3 separate regions of the Mus musculus genome follow, and all the other regions are reported to be linked to region 3. Evidence: microRNA targets listed by miRTarBase, many of them from high-throughput screens and not tested one by one. Region 3 holds a microRNA gene; each other region holds the end of a gene's coding sequence.
The links. The annotated mature microRNA mmu-miR-3097-3p reads CUCAGACCUUUCUACCUGUCAG and lies in region 3 at 2,610-2,631, shown strand. An mRNA with a match to its seed (bases 2 to 7 or 8) in the 3' UTR can be bound and repressed. Matches are read on the target gene's strand: a 7mer-m8 pairs with bases 2 to 8, a 7mer-A1 pairs with bases 2 to 7 and ends in A, and an 8mer does both.

Region 1 (4,000 bases), not on the chromosome of region 3:
CCCTGTAATTTGTGGTTCCTCCTGGAATCCTTGTTCTTGAGCTTCTCCAAGTAAACTGAAGCATTTTTGGAGATGGGAAGGTCCAGCAGACATGTCTGAGCCAGCAGTGGGACACTTAACCTGGGCCTGCTACCAGACCCAACCTGGTTAAATAAGAAATGAGGCCACACAGGTCTCTTCCAGCTCACAACACAGAGCACATCTCAGCCACTTCATTACACTGGCTGGGAGGCTTGAAACGTGTGGCCAACAGCTAAGAGACCTTTTGCCCGCATAAAGAGCCCTCCAACACACGTGCCTAAGCAAGAGCGTTTGGCTTGTTGTTCTTTGCCACTCTTAGTTCTCTGATAGACTTACTTCTGTTCTTGCTTGACTCTCATGTTACTTGTGTTTGATGACAGCCATCTAGAGGATTCCTGTTCCCTTAAAAGGCCTCACTAGTTCCTTTTAGCTTCCAGTGTCAAGAGGGACCCACAGTGCTCTCTAGTGGTAGGTAAGTGCTCTACAGTCTTGGGCAGCATTCTAGGGCTTTAACTTCTTATATAGACTGGGTATGTTTAGAGAGTTGCACTAGGACACCTGTTCAGAAGGAATTCCTACCTTCTTGTGGCCATCTGAGGGACAGCCATGAGACATGCTTGAGGACTGGGCTGGGTGAGTGAGTTGGAGAAGGGAAGTAGCCAAGGTGACAAGGCCAACCGTTCTGTGCCCAGGGCCATTTCTGCCTTCAGGAGAAGTCGGTCCTTCTGCATCAGTCTTGGTGGTTTGCTGTATCACCTGACTGCTGGACCACTTTCCTTCCCAGGTCCTTCTCCCCCTCCACATGCAACGGATGGAATTCCCCAGGTTTCCATCCTTAGCTACAGTCTGTCCAGATGATCAGAGTCACTCTCCTGCTGCAGTTTCCACCTGTGTCCTTAGCTTCATGTGCCTCGCCTCTCCTTAGCTCCTCGGGTTCTAATGCTCAGCCACGTCTCCTCTGCAACCCACCCTCCAATCACACTCTGCTCCTTCTTTGGAACTTCCATTTTATATAACAGGCTCCATACGCCACAGACCCGGGGCTTCAGCCTGCCTTTGTCTTATCTCTCACCTTCCAAATCCATCCCATCGTCAGTCCTATGGATACTCACTTTAAGTTTATTCAAATTTTTCCTGCTCCAGTAAGGTCCATCAAATATACCAAATAGGGTGTTGGTAATTTTTTTAATGGTCATATACGAGGAAGTATTGAAGGCTGCCACTCAGCTCCATGAAGATCCTTAAAGCAGAGGGGGAAAGAACAGGAGCTGACCACCACAATGGACTGTTTCTGAAAGTCCCCTCTCCCTAAATCCTGATAGATGGGAAATGTAACTGTCACTTGGCACAGATGTGTGTGAATTTCAAGCTTAAAAGCTCTGTAACATTCTGGCTTGGGGTCACAGGTCAGCTCCCGATCACTGTTCTGTATCCCAGATCAATCAATAGATGCTTGATTACAATAAGTTTTTTGTTGTGGCCATAGACCTGGTATTTGAGTTGTGTTGGATCTAAGCAGACTTTGCCGTAACTCTTCTCTTCAAAGCAGAGGCTAATAAACAGTCAGCATTACTGTCAAGAAAGTGCTGACCCCCCTTCCCCTCCAGGACAAGGGAGCAAAGGAAACAATGTCTGAAAACCTTACATCCTGGTGAGGATTAATGTTGCCAGCTTGACAGGCGTTGTAGCCACCTAGGAGATGAGGTACATCTGTGAGGCCTTATGTGCCTCTGGGTGTGTCTGTGAGGGGTTATTTTGATTCATTTAATTAAAGTGGGAGCCCCAATCTCTAAGTGAGAGCATCATCCTCCGGGCTGGGTGGGTCCTGGATTGAGTAGAGAAGGGCTGAGCTTGAACTGATTCTTCTGTTCCCATCTTCCATATGCTCTACGTGTCAGGAAATCACTCCTTTCCTTTCCTTTCCTTTCCTTTCCTTTCCTTTCCTTTCCTTTCCTTTCCCCTCCCCTCCTCTCCTCTCCTCTCCTCTCCTCTCCTCTCCTCTCCCCTCCTCTCCCCTCCTCTCCCCTCCTCTCCTCTCCTCTCGTCTCCCCTCCCCTCCCCTCCCCTCCCCTCCCCTCCCTTCCTCTTCTTTTTTTTTCTTTTCTTTTGTATTTTGTTTTTTTGAGACAGGTTTTCTCTGTATAGCCCTGGCTGTCCTGGAACTCACTTTGTACACCAGGTGGCCTCGAACTCAGAAATCCGCCTGCCTGTGTCTCCCAGGTGCTGGGATTAAAGGCGTGCACCACCACTGCCCAGCATTTCTTTCTTTTTTTTCCTATTGATTCTTTGCAGGTTTCTAGTTGTTTGTTCACACTTACGAATGAGGGTCTGAGTCTGTGACCACAGCTTCGTCAGGGCTGGGATGGTAGGTGTGAGGTGCCAACCTGGCTTCACCCCTTCTTCCTACACAGGCACAGTCCTAACGGACAAGGGCTCTCTCTACCTCTACCTTCATGGCCTCATTATGCTCCGTAACCTCCTGAGTCTCACCTCCAAATACTGTGTAAGTTAGTGGGTCTCAACCTTCCTAATGCCGCAACCCTTCAACACAGTATCTCATGCTGTGGTGACCCCCAACCATAAAATTATTTTTATTGCTACTTCATAACTATAACTTTGCTGCCTCTATGAATTGTAATGTAAATATCTGATGTGTCCGATGATTTTAGGTGACCCCTGAGAACCAAAGGGTTCTCGACCCACAGGGTGAGAACCACTGCCGTACATGACTTAAGCTTCTCTCCTACTAACTCATGATAGAGATTCAATTTCAACACAGGTCTTGATAAGGAACATCAAGGCCATAGCAATGGCTATGGGATTTTTATATGTGTCTTAAAAGTTTACCCAGTATCAATATATTTTATAATATCAATGGAATTTGGTAGTGACCGCACACTAAGCATTCTTGACCTCAGTGTCTTTCAATCAGCATGATAAAGGTTGGTTTACATTGTAAGTGACACGGTGGCGGGGGGGGGGGGGGGGGGGGGGGATCTTTGCTTTAAACTTTGAATGAAACTGGCCAAGGCTCAAGCCAAGGAGACACAGCACCATCTCTGCTAGAAGTTCTCATTTGAAAGAAGCTTATGGGTAGGACTATGCCTGGAGAACACACCTAAGGGGTAAGGAAGGCTGACGACAGTGACTCTGCCAGGTGATTGCCCTTTGCCCTGGAGGGGGGGGGGTCTCTGCAGACAAAGCTTGGTTGGATCATCTTGCCACAAGCACTAAGTGTGTGGCATTGAACAACACTTGGTCTCATGCTTACTTCTTGCACGAAAGCCGTCTCCTTTGGACACCTTTAGTTTATATCCATTTTAATATCAAGATAGTTTTCAAACGCACAGAGACACCAACAGCTTTATTTTTACTGTCTAGTATTCATGCACTTTGCCATTGTAAGTCAGCTGTGAACAAGGACATCGTGAGCGTGTACCACAGTGCTGGGTCAGTTGTGATGAGGACCACAACTACGAAGGACCTCAGAGCTGGGACACTCAGAGGCTCAAAGGCAAAGTTCAGACACACACACACACACACACACACACACACACACACAGAGAGAGAGAGAGAGAGAGAGAGAGAGAGAGAGAGAGAGACAGAGATAGAGAGAGACAGAGAGAGACAGAGAGACAGAGACAGAGTGCGAGCGAGCACAGGAGCTGAGCACATATCAGGTCAGGAGTTCATCTGCTAGGCACCCTTCTTTTGAGGTTTACTCTTGGAGGTAAAGAACAAAAGTCCTTTCTGAAAGAGAAGAGGTTGACAAGTGAGATTATTCTGGGAGTTTCTTCTCTTGTGAATATTGATGTTTCCCCCCTTTAGGAAACACCTGTATCTAGATATCAAGTTAGGTGTGGGAAGAGAAACGAGCTTCCCCAAACCACTCCCCTTTTAAGTTTCCCCTTAGTGATAAGGTAACTCTCCCCTTTACTTAGGCCTAAGGCCCAAGCTCTCCTTCCTCAGTCCCTTCCCC
Region 2 (4,000 bases), not on the chromosome of region 3:
AACCCAGGGCTTCATGAATACTGAGCTACAGTCCCAGCCCGTTGGTGATATATGGCACCTATAACCTATAGAAACCTATAGAAACTTGTATGTTCCATTCCCCTTCTATCATAGCATGTGTGATCAATGATTCAAGCAACCTACGCATAATTAAGCACTTGCCATATGCTGCAGCCTGTAATGAAAACTAGGGTACAGCATTACTAAAACCAGGCCCACTTCTTGCTCCAGAGGCAGAAAACTGCAGCAGTGAATGATGTGGCACCGGTATCTACTGTTGCACACCAAAGCAAAGAGCATTGTTTTGGTTTTGCTATGTAGCTCTGGTTGACATTGAATTCATGATAATCCATCTGCTTCAGCCTGAGTCCTGGGGATCCCAGGCACCTACCATCACGTCCAGCTTAGAGCAAACCTTTTCTTGCAATGAAAGACATTAGGCTCAGGCTTTGAGAACCAAATGGTCTTAATTTTCAAATGTGCCATCTTACATAAACAGCCAAGGACCAGAAACAGGGATGTGGCTATGTTCTATTAGAACATAATTTGATAAATATAGAAATGGGAATATCATGTAACTTTCACACTGAATCATATTCTTTTTCACTTTGTACCAGAGGGAAATGTTCCAGTGTCATAAGCAAGCCCAGGAGTGGACATCTCCCATAGAATAAGCTTGCCAGTCACACACACACACACACCAATCACTGCTTTCCTTGAGGTTTTCCAACTGTAGTGCTGAGGATGTGGCTTGTGATAGAATGCTTGTCTAGCATGTATGAGATTCTAGGCTGTGTTCTCAGCAGCACACAGAAAGATATTGTAGCCACAATATGCCCATTCTGGACAGACAGAGGCAGGAGATCCACTGACAAGTAGTGAGTTCCACTGCATAGCAGGCCCTTGTCTCAACGCAAACCAACAAAATAAAACAAAAAAGAAGGGGGAGAAGAGGGGGAAAATTGGGCTGGTGGTGTGGCTTAGTGGTAGAGCACCTGCCTAGCATGTTGGAGGACCTGTGTTGATTGCCTGGATCTGAGACACGACTGTGAATTCAAAAGCAAAACTGAGAGCCAGGTATGACAGCTCACACGAGTAACTTAAAACACTTGAAAGTCTGAGGCAGGAAATCACCACGAGTTCTAGGCCAGTCTGGACTACTTATAGCAAGACCCTGAATGAAAAGACAAGCAATCTCTCTCAAGAGAGTTGTAATTGGAAGGTCCTGAATCAAATATCCTGTGTTCAAATACTAGGTTTCCTGGACAATTATGCAATTCCAGGCAACTGATTTCACCACTCTGGACTTGAGTTTCTTAACAGGATGGCTTTAAAGACTTAAGGAGGTAGTCTAGTTGACTCTTGACACAGGTCTTCCATGCACCTGCACTATTCAAACTACTAAATACTTGTTAGGGTACATACACCAGGCTGGCCTCTGACTCCTGAGTACCATGATTAAATGTGTGTGATCCCATGGCCAGCTGGGAAAAAAAAAAACAACTGAGTTTCTCATCTGGAGGTACAGAATATCACAAACTTCAAAGAGCTGTTGTGAACACACACACACACACACACACACACACACAGCAACAATGCTGGACACTGTTCTCAAAGTTGGGGACAGTACATGGTGCATCCATGGTGTTTTCCATTTTTTATTCTTTCAAACAAGGTGTTAAATAGCCCAGGCTGGCCTCAGACCCAGCTTCTATTTCTGGTTGTGAGCCTAGCCTGTAACAGAGGAGCCATCTCTCCAGCCCCTCAGACCCAACTCAAAGCAGTGAGGATGACTTTGATGTCCTGACCCTTCTGCCTCCACCTCCCAAGTGCCAGGATTACAAGTGTGTGCCACTATGCCAAGTCTTGTTTTGTAGCCCAGGCTAGCTGAAAGTTTTTAAATCTGGATTGACCTCTCAAAATCAAGGATGGGGAATAACCACTGTGCCCAACACTACCTAGAATTCTGCTAAGTTGTGAGCTCCTCAGAACTGCCATGGAATGCTGGTCCTACTGTGTACACAGAACTGTTTTGTGCTGTTTGCCCAGACAGACTTGCGAAGGGTTAATAGAGACCCATCCACCAGTACCCCAATAAGGGCACTGGATATGTCCAGATGTCCGTGAAAGCAAATGGCACCAGAGTGGCTAGGATACAGTCATGTTTTCACAGGTCTTGGTCCAGTGAAGGAAGTCTCCTTGCCATGATGTACCAGTGGGCAGAGCCTCAGGACTAGGCGGTAAGGGGTGCCTGGGAACACCACCAATTGTATCCTGAAGGTACTTGTGTCCCAGAAAGGACTTGAGAGACTGGGGCTAGAGGTGAGGCTGTGGCAGAGCATGAGACAAAGGCTGGGGACATGCAGCAGCCCCCTGGGGATCACATTAGCTGTCTTCTGAGAGCACTGGGTCAGCAGGTGGAAGGGGAGCCCAGCAAGGAGAGTGGGTATGATACCTACCTGTGAGGCACCATCCCTGCTTGACTCAGCAGGGAGAAGTAGGTGGAGCCTGAAGCAACCTGGGGTTGGGCCAGTGCCTCCTTGCAGCACTGCTGATCCTACAGTCTGGGAAGGTGTAGTGAGTACCCCCAATGGCTGTCATTCTCCTAGAGAGGGTAAGCAGGCCCTGCTCCTGGTATGGACAGTTAGGCTCTTGAGGGACACTGCAATGACACCCAAGGACTCACTCTGCTGTGGCCCAGATAAGTGCATACAGGCCCCATTCTGTTTTCTCCATTGAGGAGTGTTAAATAGGGCTTGTCCTTCTTGGGGGTAGCCTCTTGATTCACAGGCAGACTTGGTGGTGTTTAGTGTTTCAGGTCCTGCCTGGTGGCACACAGCTAGCCACAAATACCAGATGCTTTTAGCCAGCAGCCTTGTAGGAGTCTAAGATGGAACTGTTTTGGGAGACCTCTTGCAGGGCAGTTATCCTGTTTGGGTATGTGTGCTACAGTGTGTGTGTGGAGGTCAGATAACACTATAGTTGCTTCCCTCCTGCCTCTGTGTGGTTTGGTGATCAACTTAGGTTGTGTGGCCTTGTAGCACAATGGAAGTGCAAAGCCAGGTTATCAGGGTTGCATGGCAAGTACCTTCACCCACTGAGCCACCTTGCAAGCCTCTGCCATCTAAGTTAGCTCTGACTTACAGGCATACAACACCACTGTTTTATGCAGCACAGGGTTAACCCAGGGTGTTAAATGCTGAACAACCCCAGATTCCACTCCGTCATCACCTCCAGGTCTCTTGAAGACCTGAGCCAGCTGCATGGTCCGGACAAGGAAGGCAGAGGAGGTGCGGTGGTTGAGCTTAAGTTAAACACCCATATGAATTTATTAAATCCAGACTGTGTTAAAGGGTGGCGGTCTGGGAGCAGGGTGGTCGGGGGATGAGGGACAAGATGATGGAGGACCACAGGCGTCCCACAGAGGAGCCCTGGCCCCTTCCCCGCCTGGCCCACCCTCGGCGCCATATTGGCTTCACCATGATTCCCGATGGTGTTGGGCTGGCAGGGCGAGATGTCTGCAAACACATAGGAACAGACGGATAGACAAGACGATGGACGGTGCCTCCACATACACACAGCCAGCCCCAACCTGCCCGGCCCCATCTCACACACCGGGCCCTGGCCCTGGGGGCCTCCTGCCGCCCCGGCCTGATCTGTCCAGGAAGAGGGCGACAGAGAGGGTAAGGGAGGGGCCCGGGAGGTGGTGGTGGTCAGTCACCAGGAGCAGATAAGGAGGACTGCAGTGGCTAATCCTTTTTCTTGTCCTCTGCTGGCTTTGGAGGGGCTTCCTGGGGCTGGCTGGCAGTGCAGGCCCCAGAAGTGGCCTTTGGGACTGTGGAGGCATCCTCTCCGCTGACAGCTGTGCTGGGTGCAGGTGTGAGAGCCCCTGCTGCAGTGGATGCCTGGGCCCTGGATGCCGCTGCTGAGACATCCTCTCCACTCATACCGAACTCGTTCACACGGGTGGGGTCGACGCGGTAGATCCACCGTTGGTAGA
Region 3 (4,543 bases):
CCCAGGAATCTGTCCTGTGACCTGACCAGAGGGCAGAGTATCCTGAGTAGCCTGTCCGGAATGCTCAGAGCAGATGGAGTCCTGTGACTATGTGACGTAGCAGCATTTCCTTAATGATCCCACGTGGAAAATCACCTTCATCAGCTCTGCTGCCTGAGCCCCCTGACGGCATAGCCCCAAAGTGCCACCCCACATTGGGCTGGCCTTGTCTCTGAAGCTACCTGTGCCTCGCTCTCCAGAGCACCATGTGTAACAGTGCTATAGAGTTCTACTTACACTGGCTTGTGGCCCTCCCCTCATCCCTGGGCTGCTTCAAGTGACAAGGGTGATAGATGGGGTCTTCCTAGACACATCTCCTTTTCTTTGTTGTAATATTTTCCTGTATCGGGTCATCAGTGAATGAGCTACCAGATGACACATGGTTAAATACTCAGTTTGGATAGTGTGGCTTAATATCGTCACTGAAAAGTGATCTGCACACAGAAAAGTGCACAGGCAATGAGCCATGGATCCAAATTGCAGCAGACAGCACCAGGAGGGTGATGGGACCAACTGCAGCCCCTCCTCAGACTTCACTCAGGGGCTTTTGCTTTGTGGTGCACTTATAAATGCCTTCCCGCCTTCCGTATGCTCAGCATCATTCTTTCTGCTCTGTGTTGTATGCACACCTTAGGCAATAGCTTCTCTTGTTCAGCCCTGGGAAGTTGAGATGTGTTCTTTTCTGAAGTCTAGAAAGCCTTGGCTAGGTTTCAGGTGCAGTACATGTTGCTCAGTGAACAACATGGGTTGTGGGAAGTAGAGCTGGATATAGGTACCTGTGGCCTCCGAGGTGCAGGTATGTCTGTGATGATCCTGCAGAGTTGACTGGAGCTGACCTTAAGGACTGCATCAGCAACAACAGCCTGAGCAGCAATGCCAGCCTCCCCAGTGTGCAGAGCTGCCGGCGCCTACGAGAGAGGAGAGTTGCAAGCTGGGCAGTGTCATTTGAGCGTCTCCTTCAGGATCCTGTTGGTGTTCGCTACTTCTCTGTGAGTAAGGGGGACTGCTGTGGGGTGGCAGCACTTTGAGCCCGGGTGCTTGAGCTCACGGGGCCATCTCAGACCTCAGAGCCTGGGCATCACCTTGTTAGAGGTGTGGTCGTCCAGCACCTGCTCCAAGCTCAAGGATGGGGTAGGTAGCGTGTACACTTGTAGGGGCTGGCAGTTCTGTTTTCCCTTCCTGGCCTGCCTCCTGCCCTGGAGTTCCCTGCCGGCACACTTCCCTCTCACTCTCTCGATGTCTGTGCAGCAAGGAACATCAGAGTGTCTTGGCTCTGTGTGTTTGTTTTTTTTGTTTGTTTTGAGACTGGATTTCACTATGTTAGTCAGTCTGGTTTGGAACTCATAATCCCCCTGCCTTATCCTTCTGAGTACTAGGATTACAGTTGTATGACATCATCCTAGCTGGAGCTTCTTCAAAATTCTTGGAAATGCATGCTGACAAATACAGCTCTTAAGGATCCAGAAGTAGGGATGGAGCTGTGAAAGAGTGATTACGAGCAGCACGTGATAATAGTGTCAGTGATATGATGTCATATTTTATATGCTAACCAGAGACTAAAAATATATTTCTTTAAAAAAAAAAAAAAAGATGACCAGCCCTTGAGAAAAGAGCTGTGAGGCAGATGGCCCGCCCACTCACGTGTGCTGCGCAGCCCCTATGCCTGCTTTCAAGGCCCCTGCGAGGCTCCTTTCCTGCCATGGTGTAGACAAAGAGGGCCGGGGATATGGGGCTCAGCTTCATAGAGGGGTTGTGGAGTGACAACTGCTCTCCTTCCTGTGTTCCCTCAGGATTTTCTACGTAAGGAATTCAGTGAAGAGAACATTTTATTCTGGCAGGCCTGTGAGTGCTTCAGTCATGTTCCTGCACATGACAAAAAAGAGGTAAACTGCTCTTCAGAGCAGGGGCTGTGTGAGGACCGAGGTTACATCAAGGGTTGCTTGAGCAGTCGATGAGGGATGCTTCTTACTGACTTTAAAGAACGGTGACATTTCTGCTTCAGCATAAAAACTTAAGTGTGTGACATTTAATTCTGCCTAAACATAGTCTGCATAAATGCCTCGCCACAGAGCCTGGCAGTGGTGGCACTTGACGTTGGGTTGGGTAAGAAGGAACAGTGTTTGAAGAGACTTGGAGAAGCACTCTGGCAAACTGCAGCCTCTACCTGTGGCTTAACAGCACCTGTCTAGCTGCCCCAGGACTGCCCAGGCCATGTCCTGTGGCCTTTCCCCCAAAGTAACAGCTGTCCTCACAGAGTGGCCTCATGCCTGTGTCTTGTGCTCTGAGCATTGTGCACTTTTGCCCTCCCCTGTCGTGCACACTTTGCTGGCAGATCCTCCTCTGAGGCCCTTACAAAGCAGCCATTTAGAAATTTGCAGCCATTTAGAAATTTGTAGAGGAGCCGATTCAGGAGTTTCCTCCTGGCTCTTTCTTTTATATTTACTTTCATAAGCCAGACTATAGACAGGGCCTGTGACTCAGCTCTCCAGCCCCGAAGCAGAGTCAGCCTTAGGAATGTTTGAGTGACACAGGTGGGAAGTGTGTGTCCAGTGGGTGTGTCTACAGATCTGCTCAGACCTTTCTACCTGTCAGCTCTCTTACAGGGCCCGGGAGATTTTCAGTAAATTCCTGTGCAGCAAAGCCACCACTCCTGTCAACATTGACAGCCAGGCCCAGCTGGCAGATGACATTCTCAATGCACCCCACCCTGACATGTTCAAGGAACAACAGCTCCAGGTGACTTTGCAGACAGTCTTCCATGGGGCTTCCAGCCAAGGCTTGGGGGTGCAGAGTCACTCAGAGTAGCACGTGCCCTTCTGGGAAGGGGGCTGCTGGTCATGTGGGCATGGTGACAAGCCCATCTGACCACTGGGCTCCAGTCTCAAAAGGATTCAGTAGATCTGAGGAACAATAAAGCCTTTGCCACAGATAGCCCCATGTACCCACTGTCAACCGAAGTAAGGGACAATATTACTTTTCAAAAGTCTATGGGGCTGGTGAGACTGCTCAGCAGATAAAGGCTCTTGCCGCCAAACCTGACAACCTGAGTTTGATCATTGGGACCCACATAGTGAAAGGAGAGAATCAACTTCTATAAGTTGTACTCTTTAGACACGGACCATGGTGGGTGTACAACACACACACACACACTCTCTCTCTCTCTCTCTCTCTCTCACTAAATAAGTAAATGAATAAATAAGTATAAAAAAATTGTATGCACATTGGACACACTTGACCTACAGAACATGACAGCTACAGCGTGGCCACAACAGCACATTATGGAAGGTCAGTGGTCTTTGATGATTGCAGGGCTGACTCTGAGCAAGTTCGGTGTCACTTCCAGCATTTGAGAGCGGATGATAACTGCATTATCCCAGCCCAGAGAAAGCTTTCTATGAGCACACGTCGCTGCCACACTAGTGTACATCCAGAATGCTGTGGACCTGTCTGTATACTTACATGTTTACGTGCTTAGTAGCAGTAGCAGCAATTGTCATTTGAGACAGGATCTCACTGTGTAATTTCACCACCATTGACATGAAGCTCACATACTCGTGCCTCAGCCTCTGCCGGATCACAGGATGCACATGGAACCCTGTTTACATGTTTGTGTCTTAATTCTGGAAGAGCATGTGATCTGACCCGTCCAGAACACACTTCCCAGCCCTGCCAGCTGCTGTGCCGCTAGGTTGCAGGAATTAGCTTAAAACAGAGCAGAGCTTCCCCAGGCCTCACTTACCCTTGAGACAACTGCCTTCCAAGTTCCTAGGAAGTGAAGGCCTGCTAAGGGTGCAGCCACAGTCTTGAGTCTGCCTGCCCTTCTGGCTGTGCCTATGCCTATGACTCTGCTCTTACTAAGAGTGACAAAGGAGAGGCTGTTGACAGGGATCAGAAGGGTCCCTGGAGAGTTAATTAACATCTGAGTGCCCTGGGGCCCAAGGGAGGGTTGGCAGGAATGACACCCTTCCAAAATGTCACTCATTCATGGGTACAGACCTCCTATACCGCCTAGGACCTAAGGAGTTACCGTTCTTTCTGTGACTATACTGCATGGCATCTGCTCCACAGATTTTCAACCTGATGAAGTTTGATAGCTACACTCGCTTTCTGAAATCCCAGCTGTACCAAGAATGCGTCCTGGCAGAGGTGGAGGGACGTACCCTCCCGGACTCTCAGCAGGTCCCCAGCAGCCCAGCTTCCAAGCACAGCATCAGCTCTGACCACTCCAATGTGTCCACACCAAAAAAGGTGCTGGGCTAGCCCTTGTGGGGGTGAGAGTAAGGCTGTAACCACACATCCTGTCACCAGCAGAAGGTGGGGCCTGTAGGACACAGATACTCCTGAACCCTTTCCTGATCCCCTAACCCCTGGCTACCTCGGTGGTGAAAGAGAGGACTGTGCCCTTGACCCACTGAAGATTCTACCTGATTCCTCAGAATCCTTACTCATAGAGCTCTGTGTTGAGCCCCTTTAGTGTCTTAACTGATGTTTCTATTTGGTGACA

Region 1: miRTarBase lists Sp110 as a target of mmu-miR-3097-3p. Seed matches in the 3' UTR shown: 7mer-A1 at 3,542-3,548.
Region 2: the mRNA of Clptm1 is a reported target of mmu-miR-3097-3p. Seed matches in the 3' UTR shown: 7mer-m8 at 1,765-1,771 and 7mer-m8 at 1,699-1,705.

What each region holds. Positions count from the first base shown.
Region 1 is chr1:85,573,575-85,577,574 of GRCm38, forward strand. It overlaps Sp110 (Sp110 nuclear body protein), which reads right to left. Exons shown (of 12, transcript NM_030194.1): 12 at 3,325-3,771. The coding sequence ends at 3,718. Among named protein-coding and RNA genes, the nearest start is that of Sp110, 23 kb to the right of the region's middle.
Region 2 is chr7:19,629,942-19,633,941 of GRCm38, forward strand. It overlaps Clptm1 (cleft lip and palate associated transmembrane protein 1), which reads right to left. Exons shown (of 14, transcript NM_019649.2): 14 at 1,639-4,000. The coding sequence ends at 3,750. Among named protein-coding and RNA genes, the nearest start is that of Relb, 2.5 kb to the left of the region's middle.
Region 3 is chr5:35,018,485-35,023,027 of GRCm38, forward strand. It overlaps Mir3097 (microRNA 3097), which reads left to right and starts at 2,565; the gene lies at 2,565-2,631. It overlaps Rgs12 (regulator of G-protein signaling 12), which reads left to right. Exons shown (of 17, transcript NM_173402.2): 5 at 859-1,028; 6 at 1,830-1,922; 7 at 2,632-2,775; 8 at 4,108-4,287.